2 linked regions of the Drosophila melanogaster genome follow. The protein of the gene in region 1 interacts with the protein of each later gene in a biochemical or structural test. Each region holds a gene or a part of one and is shown on either strand. Other genes may lie near its edges. The genes, in order: Rac2 and pbl.

Evidence for each region.
Region 2: of the proteins of Rac2 (region 1) and pbl, one has a biochemical effect on the other in vitro, tested with the Drosophila melanogaster proteins (one study listed by BioGRID).

Annotation. Positions count from the first base shown.
Region 1 is NT_037436.4:7,428,560-7,438,926, forward strand, and holds Rac2 (Rac2), read right to left. Parts: upstream 6,632-10,367; 5' UTR 5,952-6,631; coding exon 5,373-5,951; 3' UTR 4,203-5,372; downstream 1-4,202. Other genes in the region: CG14835 (uncharacterized protein), read right to left, coding at 8,315-8,773; sphinx1, read right to left, coding at 10,015-10,016, 10,087-10,367. UniProt on the Drosophila melanogaster protein: Involved in integrin alpha-PS3/beta-nu-mediated phagocytosis of Gram-positive S.aureus by hemocytes.
Region 2 is NT_037436.4:7,903,029-7,913,717, reverse strand, and holds the start of pbl (pebble), read left to right. Parts: upstream 1-1,763; 5' UTR 1,764-2,259; coding exon 2,260-2,296; intron 2,297-4,379; coding exon of another isoform or gene 4,380-4,557; intron 4,558-6,379; coding exon 6,380-6,596; intron 6,597-10,134; exon of another isoform or gene 10,135-10,481; coding exon of another isoform or gene 10,482-10,522; intron 10,523-10,689. Other genes in the region: CG8281 (uncharacterized protein), read right to left, coding at 65-1,111.

The sequences.
Region 1 (10,367 bases):
TCCATAAATTCCTAAAGTTTCCGTCATTACTTAAGCCCTTCAAGCATTTTTGCGAACTCACAGCAATCCAAAGTCCAATGGGATGCGTAAATCCTTCGCTGGATTTCACCCATGCCGGAATAAAATTTATAAGAATTCCGCTGGCCAGTCGAGCGTATCCGCTTCAATTTAAACAATTAATGTCAATCTGCGCCGAGGGTGAATAATTTTTCTCCGCTCTAGAAACGTTCTTGGCGAGGAAAATATATTAAAAAGTAAGTTCATTTGATTTCATTAGATTCGATCCCACAGAGAATTCTATCTATTTACCTAAAAAGCCTTATATGCAAATGTAAATACTAAGCACACCATGACGGTGTGTGTTTTGTTTACATATATTGTAGATATATACATAAATTTTTCAAAAGCCAAACACACAAATACGAAAATCTTTGAACTGTATAGCTGAGGGTGGTGGTCAAAAATAGAGTGTAGCAAAAGATTCAGATACTTTTGAGCACTACCTGTGGCGCAACTAAGTGACACCTATTTTGGGATTTTAGTTGTGCCTTGTGTTCATTATTAACTGAAAGCTGACAGTTGGACATGTAATTGTGTTTAATTGAAAATGAAAAGCCTCACATAGAATCATACTCAAATTCAGAATGCACACCTGAAATCTTAAACACACACGCACGTACGTTTGGTCGATTTGAATGTCAGACTGGCAAGTTTTCAGCTTTTCAGCATCGCCCGTCGTCTGGCGGAAATTTCAACGTGTTCGGGATGTCAACATTTCCCTTACACTTTCCCCCGCCCGATCACCATTTTCCGTCCATGCAAATGTGGAAAATGCAACAAGTTGCCAGCCAGCCAACAAAATGGCGGAAACGTGTTGCTGTCTGACTGGCGTCGACTGGAAAATCAAAGCTCCACCGCCTGCATCCATGAATTATGGAATGCATATTTAAACGCAACTTTAAACTTTTTTATTGCACCGAGAAGGAGGAGCGATCCGAGGTGGGGAGGCATCCTAATTGTGCAAAACTTTCGCACACGCTTCATATCCTGGCAGCCGGTCCACATCCACGTCCGCGTCCCACGTCGCTGTTCATTGACTTTGGCAGCGTACAAGGATGCAGGACACACAGTGTGACTTTGTTTTTAATACACTCGACTCGACTCGCCTCAACTCCAGCTGCATCGATCGACGGGACAAACAAGGCTCGTCGCCTGTCTGGTCCTGCCGCAGTTCATTACTCCGCAGGACGATAATCCTGGCCCATCTTTTACACAATCAAAAATATTGAGATGCTCGATCTTTGATTTCCACAATAGGAACGCACAACTTTCTTAGTACGTTTTGTATCAAAACTTGCAAATTCTTCTTAAAAATTTCAATGTATGTATATACAATTTTTTAAACCATAAGCTAAAGTAATGTGAAGTACTAAAATTTTGTTGACTGCATCCTTTGCCGGCACGCTGTTGTCCTGTGACTCCTTGCTTTTTTGTTAGCCGCTGTCGATGCTTTACGTTGCCATGCTGGCCATGACAAAGATTATCAATAACAAGTCCGAGGCAGATACCCACATGCGTAATCCTTGCAACGGATATTGGCTACGCCACTAGATGGCTTCGCTCCTTTCGCCACAGCCCATTGAATGTCCTGCGTGTCCTGCCTGTTGGCCATCCATATCAATTGCGTCCTCAAGCTTTTGTTTGCTCACAGCAAGCATCGCGTTTTATTCCGCTTAAATATTCAGCATCTTAATGTGAAATTTGAAAATGTTGTAATTTCGAGTTAACTTGGGAAAAGCTGGAAACTATTGTTTTTCATTATTTCAACGTTTATTGATCTGTATTGAAGTCGTTTCCAGTTTGAGTAAAATCGATTTGTCCTATATTTTTTTGTTTTTCCATGAGCAGCCAAAACCAATAGCAGCATCACAGCGCACAAATGAATTTATTTTTTTTTAGTTGGCTGTTTTGGAAAACTCAACATTTCCGCCCATTCTCCGTTCGCATCATAATTTGCAATGTGTTTTCTGGCAGGAAGTTGCCGCTGAAAATATGCTGAGAAAATAGCTGGGTGGTTTGGGCGGGGATGTGAAAAGGTGTCCGAGCTTGTCATATCCTGTTGGCAGAGGATCAGGTGCAAGCATTTTCCACACCGGAAGTGTGAAATATTTTGACCTCCCCCAGCGCCAAGCTCACCTGAATTTACCTTCATCTTATGTGGCATGGAATTTTTACGCTGGAGCGTATTTTATTGGCATTTTGTACGAAATTTGTGGCCAGCAAGGAATTCTTTCGGAAATTTTCATATTAAATTTTTCCACTTTTCCCAACGGCCACGAATTCGCTGGAAATCTCTCAATTAAGCTGAAAATCGCCACGATTCCATGTTGCTCACCGAGCGTATAATTGATTTAGCCAAATTGTTAACCGCTTGAAAACGGACAAATTGCGCAAGCCTCTTTTGCAAAACCTGGCCCTGGAAAATCAGGACCAAATGGAGCTGTAAGTCCGCCGGGGAAGCTTTTAATTTCACGCATGCAGTGCATAAATTTGCCATTTCCATTTGCATTTACATTTGGCATGGGGCATGATTATGCGACACTTGTCAATGGATTTGCATCGCACAGCAGTTGTCCACTTAGCGGTATTGGCCATTCTGCAGTTTTCCCACTTCGATTTGATGGGAGGGGGATGGGGTGATAATCAAGGAATAATACCGTTCACATTCTAAAATTTGGACTGTGGTTGGTAAATGGAAAATTAAAGGGAAAATCAAGCCAATTTTATTATATGCCTTTTATTTATGAGAGCATTGGAATGCTGCTGTTTACAGGTGAGAAATAAATTTCACATTGGAAAAAGCACAGTCATTTGCATTTTAGAGGAATTTTATAAACTAACTATACAGACTTTTTTGTATGAAATGTTTTTTAAAGACGTAGGAAAATTTGGAAATTAATTGAAGCCAGCATGAAGCACAAAGAAACCTATACATTTAAAACTGTTATTTGTATAACTTGCAAACACGTGGATCTCGTTTATGAAATTGATTATAAATGAATTTGGTATTGTTCTGTTACAAAGTATCTGCATGCAATGTAGTAGGGCAATTGTATCTGAACATGCCGAACATTCCACGCCTGTCAACGCGTCTTCACTCAGCGGCTTCTTCAGCGGTGCATTCTAGAGCCAAAAGTGCAAATTCTAAAGGTGCAGCCAAATTCTAGATGCTAGCCAAATGTTTTTGCTAATTAAATTGACTTCGTTGGTCTCCCTATCCTTTACGGCCTCTCTCTGTTTTGATTGCTGCCTGGTGCCGCGGTGTTTGTTCAAAATGTGGGTCAATTATGCGATTCGTCGCGTCACAGACAAAACCACACGATGGGTTGGTGATGGTGGTGTGGCAAAAACATCCATCAGTGGCCATTGAAATGTGCGGGAGGATGGGCACAATTCGCACAGCAGGTTGTCTTATGTAATTATTTGTCAAATTCACACACTGAGCAGCGGCAGTGTGGGGCCATGCCCACATCCGCTAACGAGCCGCAGACACACGGTGACCGCAAAGCCATCGAAAACCACCCACCCAAAACACCCAAATCACCCAAACCAGCCCCTCATCATACTCGTATCCGCGGGCAATCAATCAACAGCTGGCTCATTATGACAATCGAAGTATTCTATAGATATAGATAGAATTGAAAGAAAGCGGAGCATAAAGACATAAATAAATATGATGTAGCCATTATAGTATATAGGCATATGTATGTATGTATGTATGATAGGACTGAAACTGGCAAATTGCTTAGTCAACCGGTCCGGGGATCAGAACTTCCGGCGTGTCCGGCAATCGGAAATAATTATCTAAAATTTGTGACAAATGCGGGTGCAGATAAGATTAAAGTTGCCAGGCGTGTGCAATTTTCCCCACTAGCCGAAAAGTATGCAGCAGTTCAGGGGTCAAGCACCATTGCATTGCCAACTATGAAAACCTTTAAATATACCCACATTACTTCCATAATAGACATAAATCTGAATTGCACTTTGCTCCCAACATAATTCATCCGACTATTTAGTTTTGTACAAACGTTTATTTTGGTTGATTAATATTACACTCTTTATTGATAAATTATGTGTTAATATAAATAAAGTGTTTCCTTTTTTTTTAATTTACCGCTCGCTCTCTTTCGTTAAAACAAATTGGCAAAATGTATGCATTTATTTAACATAAATATCAGTATATAAATTAACATCAAAGTAGAGGCTAATTGTGCATTTAGTATACATTAAATCAAGTCCAGGCAAATGCGTTGAGCGGGAAGACCATTGATCAGACACACACACACACATTCACACGTAACTCTAAATACTATATGTATAAATGAAAGTTCTTTTTTTGTCGGCTTCCCACATTCCCCGATTGTTCAGATATTGGCCATAGGCGGGGCCTTTCCTGGGGTTTTTCTTCCACACCCAGATAACGGCTATCTGGTACTGGTTATAGTGACTGCGTTTGGGGCGCTAAAGGCTATAAATCGTCTAGATTTATTTACAATTAATTTTATTTGATTTGTCATACGTTTCTCAGGCCGAATTTCATTTGCAAAGTTCTAATTTCTGCTGTTTAATATAATGCACTTGCGTTTTAAGGCAATTTATGGATTACTATTTGCGAAAATCAAAATTTCTTTTTTTGCAATTAACATTATATAAAAAATGTTTTTTTAATTAGTCGAAATCATTTTTAAAATGTTAATTCTTGTATGTCATAAGCGCAAAAGTATGAGTTGTACTTAATCTAAATTCTAAAACAAGTTAGTCATTAAAAATACTACGAAACAATAACTCAGAACAGAAAAATTTAAACATGTTATCTAGAGCAATATAGAAATTAATTTGAGCAATATTACATCAAATATCTCAAGTTTTAGAAGTTCTTCCACATTTATTTTACTGTGTACGCACAATATCATACTTATATGCTTATGTGTATATCTTTCTATCCGTGATCTGCCCCCCAGAGACCCCTGGCCCCGCCCCCACCCTGTGTAGCCCCCTTGCTGATAGCTGTGTTGTTGTTTTTGTGGCTGCTGCTCCCCCACATAAAGCTGACAATAAAAACAAAACTACGCTCACTCATTCACACACTCATGCCGTCACACTCGCAACCCAGAGACGCGCTCACACTTGCACTCACATCACACACACACACAATACACACACTCACACACTATCTGCTGTAACTAAAGACCCAACAAAGCGAATATGAATATTTTGCACAGAATTTTGCGCTTTGTTCTCTTCTCTTCTCGTTTTTTTTTTTGTTTTTGTTGAAGTTCTTCGCGTTTTTGTTTTGGGTGGGTTCAAAGTTCTTAGAGCAGGGCGCACTTGTGCCGCTTGGGTCCTCGAACGACAGGACATAGCACGGATCGTATGGCCTCGTCGAAGACCGTCTTCAGACCCTTTTGGGTCAGGGCCGAGCACTCCAGATACTTGACCGCAGCTATTTCCTTGGCCATCGCCAGTCCTTGGGGATAGGTGATCGGTGTTAGCTTCTTGTCCTTCAGCTTCTCGATCGTCTGCTTATCGTCGCGCAGATCCAGTTTGGTGCCGACCAGGATTATCGGCACACTCGGGCAATGATGACGCACCTCGGGAAACCATTTGGCTCGCACATTCTCAAACGATGCCGGATTCACCAGTGAGAAACAGATGAGAAAGACATCCGTTTGCGGATAGGATAGCGGCCTCAGGCGATCGTAGTCCTCCTGTCCAGCCGTATCCCAGAGGCCCAGATTGATGGGCTTGGCATCCACCATCACATTCGCCGAATAGTTGTCGAACACCGTGGGTATGTACTCGCCGGGGAAGGCGTTGGTCGTATAGCTGATCAGCAGACAGGTCTTTCCCACCGCTCCGTCGCCCACAACCACACACTTGATGGCCTGCATGATGAAGGCTACTGTACTGGTGGTACTACTGGGCAATCGATGGGTTCAGCAGCTCGATGGGTTGCTTGTGCGCTGGGGGCAGAGGGTTTTTCAGTGGATCAGCTGGTTTCGTGCTCGATTTCCAGTGGCTCAACTGGTTTTCTTTGTGGCAGCTTAACTTATAATTACTTTGGGGTAATTCATTCAATTCAGTAGGTCAGACAGTTTTTGAATGCTTCGATATTTGTACTTTTGAACTATTTTGTACTTTTCTTTTTTCTGTTCAACAGACAAATTTTAGTCACACAATTTAGTTTTGCCTTGTATCGCAGCTCAGCTAGTTTTTCTAATTGTATAGCTTTTGCTTTTCGCGTTGGCGTTTTGCTTTTATTGTTTTTTTTTTTTGGCGATTATACAATAATTTGCTCACGCACTAATACAAATTCTGCCCACACACACACACACATTCAAGCAATCGCGTACAGAGAGAGATGCGAATTTGAAGTGGAGTTTGATTTATCGCGAAAGTTGTCAAATCAATATTCTTAATTGAAAGCAGAACCGTGACGGCGTTCTTTCTGTTCGGTCGGTATATTATTTATGAATTAATTGGGCCCGCATATGTGGGGATTTGCTGATTTTCTGTGGCAGAAACGGAAAAAACACGCCCAAACGCTGTGAAATCTTCGCGGCGATTGAAGAAAATTTCTGCCTCCGCTGGCAGTTGTTGTACTTGTTTTTTCACTGTAGTTTTCGCTCTTTCAACTGGCTTGTACGGCTGTCTCGCTCGTTCGCGTGCGTTAGTCGCTTAAACGAAGCGCTGCGCGCATACGCTCTCCCACACAAAGAGCGAGCGAGCGAACGTGAGCGAGAGCGGCACTGGCACAGTGCAGTCCCATAAAATTAGTCACAGTGAGTCATTCGCTCGGTGACGTTAGTCGTGGCAATCCACAGAGAGCAGAGCGAGACAGAGATAGTGAGTCTCTTTACTTGACCTTGCTTTGGTCGTTTTTGTAGAGTTTTCTATATTCGTTCGACGGTTTTCCACGAATTTCCCGACCGTTGCTGTTGTTTTGAGCCAATTTCCACGCGACTAGAGGCTATCAGAGATGTGCGGTACCCAACTCAGGTACAAATCGCCCGTAGCTTATCGCGGTACAATTACAGTGCCACACCAAAAACAAGCAAAACGTTGATATCGCGCGATATAAATATTAATTGAACAATATTTTTTTTATTGATGAATCAATTATGTGACCTAAATATGTGTCACAGTCTTTGGATGAATATACTTAAATGGAAGTATTCATATTTTAAAATTGGAAACTCAAATTTAGATTCTGGAATTACTTTTAATTCTCCTTAATTCGGGCCATATTAATTTACGACCGTTACATCCCATCTAATTCTTAAACGAATTATTAAATTTTTCATGACCAGCGATATTTGCTGCCGTTGACTGTTTTAATGGACCACAAAATTGCGTGTGTCGGCAAAAACCAAAGCCCAAGGAATAACAAACAAATAACATTGGCAAACAGTGCAAAATATCGACAGTAAAAACCGAAAAGCAAAAACAGAACCCAAACCGAATCCACCGAATCCGCCGCATCCGCATTCAGCCAAAAGTGATAGCCGAAATATTTCGTGTTTGTGTTTTGGCTTCCGCCCCACCAACCAGAAGCCCAAAACATCCCCCCCCCCCGTCCTCCACATGCCACGCCCATTTTCGCATTGATTTTAAAATGGAAATGTTTAAAGTGCCGTCGGCGAATATTTTCGCATTTAAGTTAATTTCTCGCACTGCTGATGGTGCTGCTGTAATTGGATAATTAAATAGGCGCCACAAAATTTGTTCTCCAGCAATCCGAACAACAAGCACGAATATATGAATTTCAATAATATGCATTTTCAAAAAGTTTTTAATGGAATTTACTGTAAAAAATCCGCAACAATTAAATCGCCAATGAAGTCCGTTCAAGTGGAATAAATGTTTCTGTTTCCGTTTGTGCGTGGATGAATCATTCGATTTCGTATTCGATTTCAAGTGGGCGGGTGGGCGTCGCAAGGTTATCAGCGGGTCAGGGCGTGAAACAAAAACAACACTTTTTCGAATTAATTTTCAAATTACAGCGTAATTTAATAGATTAACCAATCGAAAGCTTTTGGCTAAAACAATGGTGTTAAATTAAGTTGAAAAGCGATAAGCGCAACAAATAATGCAGTTATCAAATTACCTTTCAGCAAAGTTATTTACTTAAACCATAACATTTTGAAACCCAAATGAGCCTTTAAGCTCCCAGAAAAAAAAAACATTTGATTGCAGTGTACCTATATTTTCCATTGCTAGCATATCCGGTGGTCAAAAGGGTTCATCAAGGTTTTTAAAGAGGCGGGTTTTCCCAGTGAAATTGGGATGTATACCTGGTACACCTGGTACTTCCAATCCCTGGACTTCGCTTCCGGCTCGTTGCACCCATCTTCTGCTGCCGCTTCTTCCTATGCGTCTTGGCATTTCCACGACAGATTCTACGCTTACTTGACTGAACATCAGAGCGCGTCCTTTGCACTGTGACCTGCTGAGGCGACAGGACATTGACGGTTAACCTCATTGCCGACTCGATGGATGGTCCGAATTGGGCCATCAAATAGGGGACTTCCTCGAACAAGGACTGCTCCTGGTCACTGAGTGCGTGCCAAGCGTTGCGGGCTTCCTTAACCAGTGTGACAGCTGGTATATTCTTACAATCGCAGCCTAGGCGGTATTCCCGCAGAAAGTTGTACGGGGCACATTTGCTGATGAACACTGGCGACTTGGAGCCAATGCTATAGCTGTAGTCCATCGGAATGCCGGGAATGGAGGCGAATTTTATGCGGCACGGGCGAGATGATCAGGAAACTCAATAATTTTGGTAAAGTCGTGGCACTGGGAAATGTGTTTTATCAAATATTTAACATCACATCTACGAATCGGTGTATTTCGAAATACAAGCGCTGCTGACATATACGAAAACAAATTTCGGATTACTTGTTTCGTTTCGAAATCGATTAGGTACATATATGTGAATTTTTTATTACCAGAAGTTAACTAACAATTTGCTGCTCTGCATAGTAAACAATTGCAATTGAAATGCCGCACTGAACCGCTTTGCATTAATCGAGTAATCTTTGGCATATTCAGGACTTTATCCGCATATCCTTATTACGACGTGTCCATTGCGGAGTGAAAAACTGTGCAAATAATTAAAGCCAAAGTGCGATACGTATGACAGTGAGTGCAACAATTATTTGATTACTGTCGCCGGGACTGCCAGTTCCCAGTTCAGTTCCCTTTGCCACGTAATTGGCGGAGTGATATATGCACATATACATATATATACATTTATATGAATATATATCCCAACCCCCGGTAATCGATGCAGGAATTTCATGGGAACAGCTTGCTGGCCATTATGCAGCGAGTTATTCATAATTGTTGTTGCTGCCCAAGTGGCAGGAAAATGCATAACAAACTGAAAAATATTCAAGCCATTTTTATTGCCACACCAGACGAACCGCACACTACATATACAGATATACATATATATACACACACATATATATATATATATATATATATATATATATGGCGATAATGAATGAATGTGCGCTAAAGAACCGCAGCCTGAACAGAAAAGAGCGAAATAAAGCAAATAGTGCAACTTCAACTGTAACAGGGCTACAATAACAATAAATTTAACACTTTAACGATTGTGTTATATATAATATCCCCAAATTGCAATACAAACCAAATTATTTTAGTTTAATAAGTTTAAATACGGCAGTAGACTTTTAGGAGTCCTGTATTTTGGGTGTGCTAATCCCAAGCTGTAAAATATTTGATACTGTGTACTCAAATAACTAACAGAGTTAAGATAAGAAACTGCATTTTGCAGAATATTTACAATAATTTTTATTAATATTTTTTAAAAACATGACATGACATGACATGCTTTGTTTCCAGAAAAACTTTGTTTTTTGTATTTTTGTTTGATTTATTTTTCTGTTTATTTTATGGGCAGCATTATTAAAACGTACATCCTTGTTCTGCAATGAATCAATTTAGCCATTCACCTTTATTAGTAAAAAAAAAATAGTTCATATTTGGAATACTCACAGAATCCCACTCCGGATACACGCTTTATCCACTTTATATGATCGCTGACGCGTATGTGTACCGAAGGATATCCAATGCTGCAGTTTTCGGGCATGAGCCATATGATGCCAATGAAGGTTGGATTCGGCCCCATTGTGACCACCGCACCACCAATGTCACCCTCACAAACTCCTTTAAAACCCTCGCCGGAGGTGCACATCTCATACCATTTCAATGGCGTATAGTATTTGGCGCACTCCGTGTTATTCATGACCTCCACTTCTATGCAACGCATCCATTCG
Region 2 (10,689 bases), 480 kb from region 1:
TTGATCGCATTTGCCATTTATCCCTCGGCCAATAAAAACTTAACACTTAGTAACTAAACTAAAGTTAGAACTCCCTGATGCCCGCACTGGTGGTGGTGCTGCCCGGTGGCCCACCTCCTCCCCCGCTTCCGCTCGCTCCCGACACATTGGGCTTGGATTCGCTGGAGGTGTGCACACTGGGGCTCTGTGATTTGTCCTGCTCCTCGTGACCATTTGGCGTTTCTTCGTAGCGAACGTAGGGTTCGAAGCTGTTGTTGATTTGCACAGATCCGCGATGCAGATTGTTGGACTCGGCCTCGAAGAGAATCTCGTTGATGAAACGTTCGGCCAGAAGACGCTGCTCGCGCGGCAGTCGCTTCAGTTTGTGCGTCCAGGTGCGGGCGATGGACTCCTCCTCCGGATATGTGCCAGCCAAATACTCGCAGGCTATGTTGAGTAGTTCGTCGGTGTTGTGGGCGGTGCCTGTTGCCCCAGGACCGCCAGTAGATCCGGCTCCTGCTCCCGTACATGGCGGCGTTTGCCTGGCTCGCTTGCTGCTCCCATAATCCACATGGTTGGTTGCTGGCGGTGGCGGTGGCGGAGCTCCAAATGATTTGTGAAACATCTCGGAAATGTTGGGCGTCTGACCACCAGCGCGTGGTGCTGGATAATGGAGGGCTGCTCCCTGGCTCTCCAGAAACGCACTCGGGCAATTGCTGCTCTCACCGAAGGCGAAGTTGGGCTCGTTCTTAAAGGCGGGATTGACGGCTAGAAACTTCTCCGAGTTGCGCAGAAAGTCCAGCTCCTGAAAGGTCCAGCAGCGTGGACTGTGGAGGCTGCCCGATCGCAGGGCACTCTCCACCACCTTCAGCTCCTTGCGGTAGTTCGTGCGCAGTGTGTTGATCTTCTTTTTCACATCCTCCACGGTGGCGTCCCGCTTGAGATAATGGTATATGGGCACCAGGCGCAAATAGGCCTCCGCCCGCTTCTCCCGATTGGTGTAGTCCCGCAGCGATGTGTCCCACAGCACGGGCAGATCCCTGTATGTCTGGATGAAGGCGCGCAGATAGTGTCGGTTCTCCTCCGCTCCCGACATCACCTTCAATCCGTGCGGCGGCGTTTGTGGCAGCATTTTGCGCGGATCTCTGGATTACCCTCTGCCAATCCACGCCAGCTGCAGTCCTTGGCTATCTTCACCACTTCAGCGAATCCTGGATGGACCTATTGACCAACTGTCAATGCGAACGAACTGTGTTTGTTGTAATTGCGCGTTTGACAGATTGTTTGCCATATTGACGTAATGGTTGTGTGCGAGTGTGCGTGAGCGTGAAGATACAGCAACAAGTGCGGACGTAGTGGCAATGCTTGTCACTGGTATCGATACTTCGCCAGCAGTATTTATCGGTCAACTCGTTGTTATCAAGCGCGTATATTTAAACAAAGTAGCACAAAAGCAAGTAGTTTTAGGCATTCATTTATTAAATATATGAGCAAGCATACATAAAATTAACTGTAGCTTATATAGCTTGCATGAAAAATATGATTGGAGGCTACAACTGCAACAATAGTAGGATATTACCAAATTTAATTTATCGACAGGCCAAAAACAACTTAAACGAAGAAAACAGTTCTAATTGATTGTTAATATAGTGCAGCTTACAACTATTTTATAGCCATAGTCGTTTAATTTAGTTATATAGCATTACAGGGAATACCTTCAACCCCTTGCAAGTGTGACCATTATTTAGCGCCGATTGATTCTGGTATTTCGTTCATCACATTTGCGCGTATTTCTTGGCGCCCCCGCGACGGTTACACTGCGCGGCACACTACAGCGAAAAAAATTCGAAACAGACGCGTTTGTCCGTTGAGTTTTGATTTGTGATTCCGACGCGCAGCCGTTGAGCGCAATTCGCTTACATTGTTGATCATTTTGTTGGTTAAATTGCTAAAGCAGGTACGCGGTATCGCTAACAAGAGGACGAAGAACCGGGCGACGCTGCCTATGCGCGTCTGTGTGTGTGTGTTTTCGTGAGCCGCCGCTTTTTAATTAAATAATAAATAAATTGTAACAAAAAGTAGAAAAACAAACAAACATGGAAATGATGCGCGCTAAATGCATGAAAACAGCGTCCAGTTAATGAAAGTAAACGAATCGAGTACAAACGAATTATTTGTCTCCTTGTGCGTTCGTTCTATTGTGTTTCGAGTTCTGTTGGTGTGTGTTTTTGTGTATGTTCCACGAGTTGTTCGCCTTAAAAAAGTAACTGCAGAAGATCCATGGAAATGGAGACCATTGAAGAGCAATCGAAGTGCGGTGAGTACTGAAAGAGGGCGCGGGGCGTGGCAGCTCCAAATGGCCGGCGAATTTATCATTTTTCAATGTCGCCCAAAGGGGTTGGGTACGGGGTAAAACCACATTCGGGGCCAAAAGATCCTCATAAAAAATGTCGCTGCCAGCAAATGCAAAAAAATAAAATGAAATAACAACGACTATAAGTACATCTTTGTGTGTATTTGTGTGACTAAAAAAGCAACGGCATCGTGTCGCAGATATTTTAATCTTTTTTTCTGAATTTATTTCGGTGTAGAAAATATTTATCGCATAAATGCGAAATGCCTCCCTCTCTTCATCATCGTTTCCCCTCACTCTCCCTCTCTTCGGCGACACTGTACCGACAGCAAGAACAACAACAACAACTGAGGCGCCCTAACTGTTGTGAGAGTAAAAAGAAAGGACAAGCAACAACAATTTAAGCGATCAGTTCCTGTTATCATTGATGCGAATTCAGCCGTTTTTAGCCATGGAGTTGTAGCTATAAAAGAAAGTAAACAAGAAACTATCGAATCTTAAAAAAGTAAACAATTAACAAAAGATAGATTTAGGTATTGATGGGAAAGAGAAATCTCTGCTATAAAGTTTTTATTATATTTTTAACATTTTTATTTAACTAAAAACAAAATTGTTTCTAGGCAATTAAAATTGTTATACTTTCCATAAGCCTACGATTTCCGCAACGAGAACGTGTAACTGCAAATACCACACAATTTCAAAGGTTATTGCCTTAAAAAATACGTGTAAATATGTTGTACGGCAGGAATTTTTCCAGCGCGCGGCATAAACAAATAAAATTATCATTTAATGTATTTTGTGTCCGAATTTGAGGCGCAAATAAAGCATATATCAATTAAAAGTTTATAATTTGGTTAGGTTATAAAATCAATTCTCCTTTGATGTTATTTAGCCTTTAAATGTGCATATGTATGTAGATACTTTTGAAATCAACTCTACATGATATCTTTGTGTACTTATTCTGTCTGCTCCGCTCTAATACTTGCCGCCAGGTAAGAAGAAGAATTTATCCTGCTCGACAGGCTCTTCGCTCCTTCTACTTCCTCCTCTTGTTGCACAGAATCCTTGATCCTTGCTTTCCGGGTGGTTTACCTACCCCGCTGGCCGATTACCTCGTATTCCATTTACACATGTTGACAGGGCGCACATGCCCATACAACTATGACTATATAGCCTGTAGTCCGTGTTTTCCGTCCCTCAATGCTAATGGCATTTTACATGGCCCGCAGACCTTCGGAATCTGCTCTTCGCCTACGTCAAGGCTTCCGCGGGATACGTACGTAATTTTATTACAAGATTTTTCTTTGATGACTCTGCTCTGCTATTTGACAAAATCCGCTACACAGCGAGAAATTGGTTGATTTTATGTATAATTTAAACTTGCAGGTAAACTGAGGTTTTTTTTTCTAGAGATTTAAAGTAATTTTCTAAATATTATTCCAAAATTACAAAACGTCTTTCGTTTAAAACACAATTTTTTTACATAAAATATTTTATTTTTGGATTTCATTGTCACTTAAAAATGCTTTTAGGTCTAGGTCAAAAGCAATAGACACGAGAATTTAAGTAAAAATCAAAAATTGTCATTTTGGGTTAACTATGATTTCGCATAGGACATTTTTCGCTGCGTGGCTGAATGCCCAGAAACCCACACACACAGCCCTCTTCTTCCGATGGCTTTTCATTTCTCAGATGCCACTCAATTAGTTTTTCATCGTTTCCCTGGCAGGCAGCCAGCGAGGAAAAGTAGAAAATAAATAACAACAGCGGATTTTGTTCGGGCAAAAAGGAAGGAAATTCCCGAATGGCGAAAAATGGTGGCCGCCACCTGTGAGTCTCGGCACTTTCTCACACTCGGAAATTTTGCTTACCATTTTGCGTTTACCTTTTCTCCTGACCTCACTTACATACCTTCTTCTTCTTGTTTGAACCGAAGAAGCTACCACCTGTGGCCATGCAAAATGCGATTTCAGGTGTTCCCTCAGCCTGAGCTCGTCTTGCATTTAGTTATGTTTTAGAGCCCGATCCTTGAGGATCTGCGAACAAAATGTTACACTTACCGCTGGTGCAGTTCAACTTTGGCAACCATTTGGGCAAAAAGAGCAACAAAGTGGTCACGGTTCAGCGACAATCCGCCTCCTATTTCACATATGCCGCCGACGAGGAGGTCAAACAGGCGAAGCTTCGACAGGCCGCCTTGTGTCAGGTGTACGAGGATTTTACAGGTATTTCAAGATTCCCAGATAAACCCCTTCAGGTACTCGTTTCCAAGGGTTGAATATGCGCAAAAGCAAGAGCAACATATTCGCCAGAGGGAAACTTAAGTAGGGTAAAGTCTTTCGTGAATCATCCATCCATTCAGCCAGACCATCGACAAACACCTGGGAAAGGTGCAGGAACAGTAAAAATAACTATGTATTTCATAAATAAATATATTACTTTCCGAGGAAAGCATTCGATGTCATGTTAAGGTGATATTGATTTAAATGCCAGTCAAGCAATTCGTGGAAATAATAAGGCGCATTAAACTTAACAATATGTTTCGTTTAATAGCTTAGAATGCATCATTAAAGAAATTGTTCATATAAAAAATTATTCGCAGAATTAGCATATATGACTTTTCATCGCTAAAAGCCTCTCGAATTGAATAAATCAAACAATTTTTTTCACATTTAATGATGTGGACATTTGTGCGTTTTAATACCCATATCAATCTTCTACAAATTCTGAATTCCCATGGAGCACATTCCGTATCACTGGTTTTTATTGGATTCCACATTCCAGTGATATTCCTACCTTATAAACATTTTGTTAGTCCATAAATCGCCACGATTTCCATTAGGTAAATTGCATTGTTTATCGCTTGTTTTGGGAATGCATATCTGGAATATCTATTTGAAAATTCCGAGACGTCAGAGATGAGAATACGACACGAACTGTAGTTCTTCCTCAGCATTTTCCTGGACTTTGTTCAATTGCACAAGTGGCGAATGTCTCGCCAGATATAGATACAAGTGTATATAGATGCAATTGGCATCGGTTACAGCTGCACAATTCTGGATAAAATTAATGCAACAAAGCCGACCGCCGTCAGTGGTCTCCACTTGCTCCATGTGGTTGTGTCCATGTCGATTGGGGGTAAATGATTTGCACTTGAAAACATTCCCCATTCTCCATTCCCCCAAGTCCATTCTCACTCATTTCGAATACTCTACTTTCGCTGCCTGTCAAAAACTATGGCAATAACGAAGGTCGCTTCATTTCGGCGTCTAAGAAATCGGCACAATTAAAATTGTTGTCAACAGCTCGCAATTTGGCAGCTTAATGCTGCGGCTTCTGCTGACCAGGCCCCCATCCGCCATCCGCCATCCGCCATCCTCCATTCTTCATCTTCGATCTGTAGTGTACATGTTTACTATACATCCTCAAGGGGTTCTATTTTGGTTAGCCGCTCTGCTCTGTTTCCTCGCATTTCTTTGTTTTATTTTGCACAGTTTTCCCTCGATCTTTTACCCCCTCCCCCCCTCCCCCTATTCACAGCACATTCAATTGCATAAACAAACAAATCCAAAAAATAGCCATTAATCAAACAAAATCTTTTCTCCAGTCGCCTGTAAACAGAAGCGAGTTGAAAGTAGTGTATGGGTTGTTGAAGGGTCACACGGATATCGAACTGTAATTAATTATGCTGCCAATAAAATATTTATTTTCTTAGCAGTTTGTTAAAATTGATTTTGTTGGGAAACATTCATAAATCACAAATATTTTAAATAAGCGGAAAAATACTGTATTTTGGCCTAAGAATAATGTGTGTTAAATTTTCGCATTGGTTTTTATATTGTGATAGTCTAGAGTATTTTATATAATGTAAGATTGAATGGAAAAACCCCTTTTTGATCGACACCTATGAACGGCATATTTATTTGCTTGATTTACGCCTGACATGCACTTAACCCCATGCCATTGGTCATTTCTGATTTTTGAGAGCACACAATGCATGTTTCTGATTTTTTAATGACTTATACCCATTCATTTCGCCCCATCCAGAGATGTCCATAACAACGCTGCCCACGCGCATCTGCCTGGTGGGAGGCGTTGGCCAGGATGCGGACACGCTGCAGGCAGCCGAATCCTTTGGCCTGCCCATCGTTACGTCGGACACGGGTCTGGACATTCTCGGAGAGTCGTCGGACTGGCGGACATTCTACGTGCTGGATGACTTCGAGGGTGCCAGCTTCGAGGCGATACACAAGCAAAAGGAATGGTGAGTACGATTAGAACCTATAACTAGTCACTGGTACTAATAATAACTCGGCCAGAAGCTGAGGAACAATAAGGCTGCTTAATTTAGACCAAATCTGTCACATGTGTCCAGCTGTCCGCCCCCACATCCTTCTCCTTACTGTACAACCCACTTTTCTCTTCTTTCTGGCTATGAAGAGATGCCTGAACAGTCAAGAGCCATTATCACATCGCCATGCTGAGCCGCAGCAAATTGAGTTTGAAATCGAGACACACGCACGAGTATACTACCTATCTTCGCTCCAAGAGCCCCAATGTGGATCCACTCGTTGGCCACCAGTTTCAAGATTGACAGCGTCAGCCATGCGCCAGATATACCACACGGCTCCTCTGCCCGCTTCCTTCCGATTGCATACCCTTCCTCGGGGTATTTGAATTGGGTAAACAGTGTAGTTTGCTACAAAACATTTCGATTTGTTTACACTTTCGTATGTATTGCGTGGAAAGAAAGTTACGATTGCTCGATGCCCATAAACTCATTTGAAGTAGTATCTTTCAGCAATGGCCTTAAATGCATTTTCAATTGCAAATGTGCACACCTGTGCCATTTTGTTTGTGTAATATAGAATTATGTTTATTATTTGATTACCTCAAGCTCTAATAGTAAACCAAAATTTAGTTGGAGTCCCCTTATGATTTTTGTACAATATTTCTAAAGATTTTTTCGGAATTTCCCATCAATATATAATATAGACATTATGACCACAAAGGGTATATATTTAATTCGACTTGCCGGCATAAGCTTGCAAACACTTTTCGCTTTCTACAAATTGTTGTCTAATTTGAAACTTGCGCAAATGTTTGTTCTTTTGCTCCATATAGATATATGTATTTTATTTGGTCCGGTTATTTGGATTGGTTGGGGTTCTTGATTTTTTTGCACGCTTGATTAATTTGCCTGCTGCGTAGTAATAGCCTCCAATAACCTACACGCTTTTTGATACGAAATCATACACATTCGATTTAATATTTGTTTTTTGGCGACCCCACCTCTGCCCTGTCTCATTAGTTATTAACCATAAGTTTGCCATACTTTGGTTAGCGTTTATTTACGAGCACTTTTTTTGGAGGTCACCTAGTGCGTTAAAGTTGTTATGAATTCGGGGGGTCGGTGGGCGTCTGTTTTCCGTTTCATGTTTTCCCAACACACGCTCTGCTTGTAAGGAAACAGCAAAGAAAATGCGAAACAGGGAAAAAAGAGCCAAAAAGTGGCTTTGTTCCCCCCATTAAGAATTATTATTATTTATCTCATAGATTTTCATTCATGTTTCGGTTCTTTTTGTTATTGCAATTTGTATTTGGTTTTCATCGCTTTTTTTCTTCTGCTCGCCAAATGAGCGAAAAATAAAACAAAGCTAAGGTGCGCATAAGTTGTTTTTTTCACTGGGCTAATTATATTTCATGTTTCATATATTTTTTTTTTTTTAGTATTCCATCTATAAATTTAATTGGTCTTAGCCTATAGAAAAACATAAACTGGTATTAAATATGGAATTTGTTTATCATCCGGAAAACTACGTAGAAAGTTTATTTGCAGCGTTAGTTGTTTATTTTTTAAATAAATATGCACTTTGTGAGTTTGTTTTTGTCAACTGATATGAATAAATCGTGACTATTAAATGCACCTGTATTTAAATTGAGCATTAAAGTTTATATAATCCATCAAAGGCTTTTCACGGTTTTGACAAAGTATTTTCTTAGTTTATCCCAAAACATTCATTAAAATGAATATAGGCTATTCCTGCTTATAGTCATGGATCATAAAATATATATAGAAATTATCATTATTTTTTCAAGTTACAATTAAATTGTAATTAGTTCTAGTGAGTTAGTACTTTTGTTGCACTAATGCAGTTCTGATTAAAAATACACAAAGATCATAGGGAAACAGAGGAATTTTAATGAGTTTTTCTCAGGAATCGCAGATAAGTGAAATGAATGACCAAGGGGCACTTTAACGGCCACTTAACCTCGCCCAAAATGATGCCACAAAGATCTTGTTAATCGGTGTTCCCACAGCATGGCCGATATGAGTGGGGGATATATACATTCTGAATCATAGGAACGATACATTCGCATAATGGGGGAAGTCTCGGAGCAATTCATTGCCTATTTTGGGGACGTAGCGAACTGCGAATGAAATCGGTTTAAAAATGAAAACAAATAAAACGCTGGCATGACAATTTCAAATAGTATTTCTTCTAAAGAAATTGAAAATGAATCGTTTTGAATATTTTTTTTTTGGGACTTCTCTTGGGAAGCAAAATCTTTTGGTGCCATTGGCCAAGTTTCATCTGAATAAAATTGAGGAGGTGGAGGCATTGCGACAATCTCTTGGCGCCAAGAATCTATAGGAATTCGTGTATTTTCAGATCGAGCGATGTCAAATCAAGTCGAAAGTGTTGAAAGAAGTGTTTGGGAAAAAACGGAAATTCTCTACCATAAAAAAAAATATAACACAAATCGCGAAAAAAGATCCGAATTTATGGTTTTTATTGAGGCATTTATGTGATCTGCGCTCTGGAGTGTTTACATACATATATTTAAATATTTCTTGTATATCTGCGAGGGAGTATATAATTTATAAGTTTTGATATGGCAATTTAATTGAGACAGCACGAGAAAGAGCCCGCGAACGACATGTCATTGACTGTTCTATAGTTTTGACCCTCGCAAAGTTCGAGTGCCCCGTGTTCAGTCAAAGATCGGCGCACTTTACAAAAGAATCGCCACTACCACCCAGAGATGGCAGGTCATCCGTTGCCGAGGCCAAAAACCCCTAGATCCCCCATATTCCGCGATTCACTTCAATCCGATCATCATCCATCGCATTCATCTCATATGAATATTGTTGTGTCGAGCACGCGCGGCGCATTTTTATGCTTTGACTAAGCATCTGAATTTTCCTGGGTTTTCCTTGGATCCCAATGCGAAAAATTGAATTGTTCTTTGGAATTTCATTTCTTTGATGCCTGCTGCTTAAATATTTGGTTGACTCAACTCTCTTTGCATTTCACCTGTCTCGCTTGATTTCTTTGTTTACGGTCGCCTCTATTTTCTTTACTACACACAGAAAAATAAGGTAAATTTGTAGAAGGAATATGGATATGAAACAAAATGGTGGCTAAAATGTGCTAAAATATCATGAATTCTTGTTTTATATTCTGAAATTAAAAGAGACTTATTCGAAAGGCTTATACAAAATTGGATCTAAATATCTTTCTGTGTAGATCGCACATTCTCGCATTGAGAGTGATGTTTGCAGTTCTTTCTTATAAGAGAAATATAGGAAAATATCACGCCTGTATAGCATTTGCCACTTATGTGCCACATTAAGTGATGAGGAGAGAACAAGCTGCAAAGTGGGGAAAATCCGAGGAAAAGCGGGGCAGGAGCCAAGAGGGTGGACCGCCTGGCATGTCAGGCATTTTCTATTTCCATTCTCCATTCGCTCGCCGCGGTCCCATCGTTTATTCAATAATTTTCCCAAGCAACGAGGCTGGCAGTTGTGTTTGTTTAGTTGCCCGGATAGAATCATAAACTCTTGTCGCTCGGTTCCTCCGGCTAGATGTCTCAACTTATTCATACTCTCGTTATGGTGCTCTGAATCAGGCAAAATCGTTCCGTTTGCCCGCGACAAATATTTGAGCATATGGAAATGAAAATCTGCCTTTGTTGGTAAGGTTAACTGAACCTAACAGCCAGAAATGTGGGTGAAATGTGTAAATGCGAGTGAAAACTGATATGATAGCAGGCTCGATAAAATAGAAGAAAGTGAAAGTGAATCTAACAACAGGAAGTTAACCTGAGAAAAGTCTAAGTCTAAGAAAGTGAAAGATCAAGTGAAATGGAGTCAGGGGAGAAAACGGCAAAAGGAAGATGGAAACTGTAAGTGTGAAACTTATTGTGATAACATCATGATATCAAAGTTAAGGCAAACTTTCTATAGAACTATGATAAATAAAGTTATTACACTATAAATGAAATACCTTAAATGATACAACATTTTATATGCAAATACTTTGGCTTTAAGCATTCATAAGAATCTTTGGAAT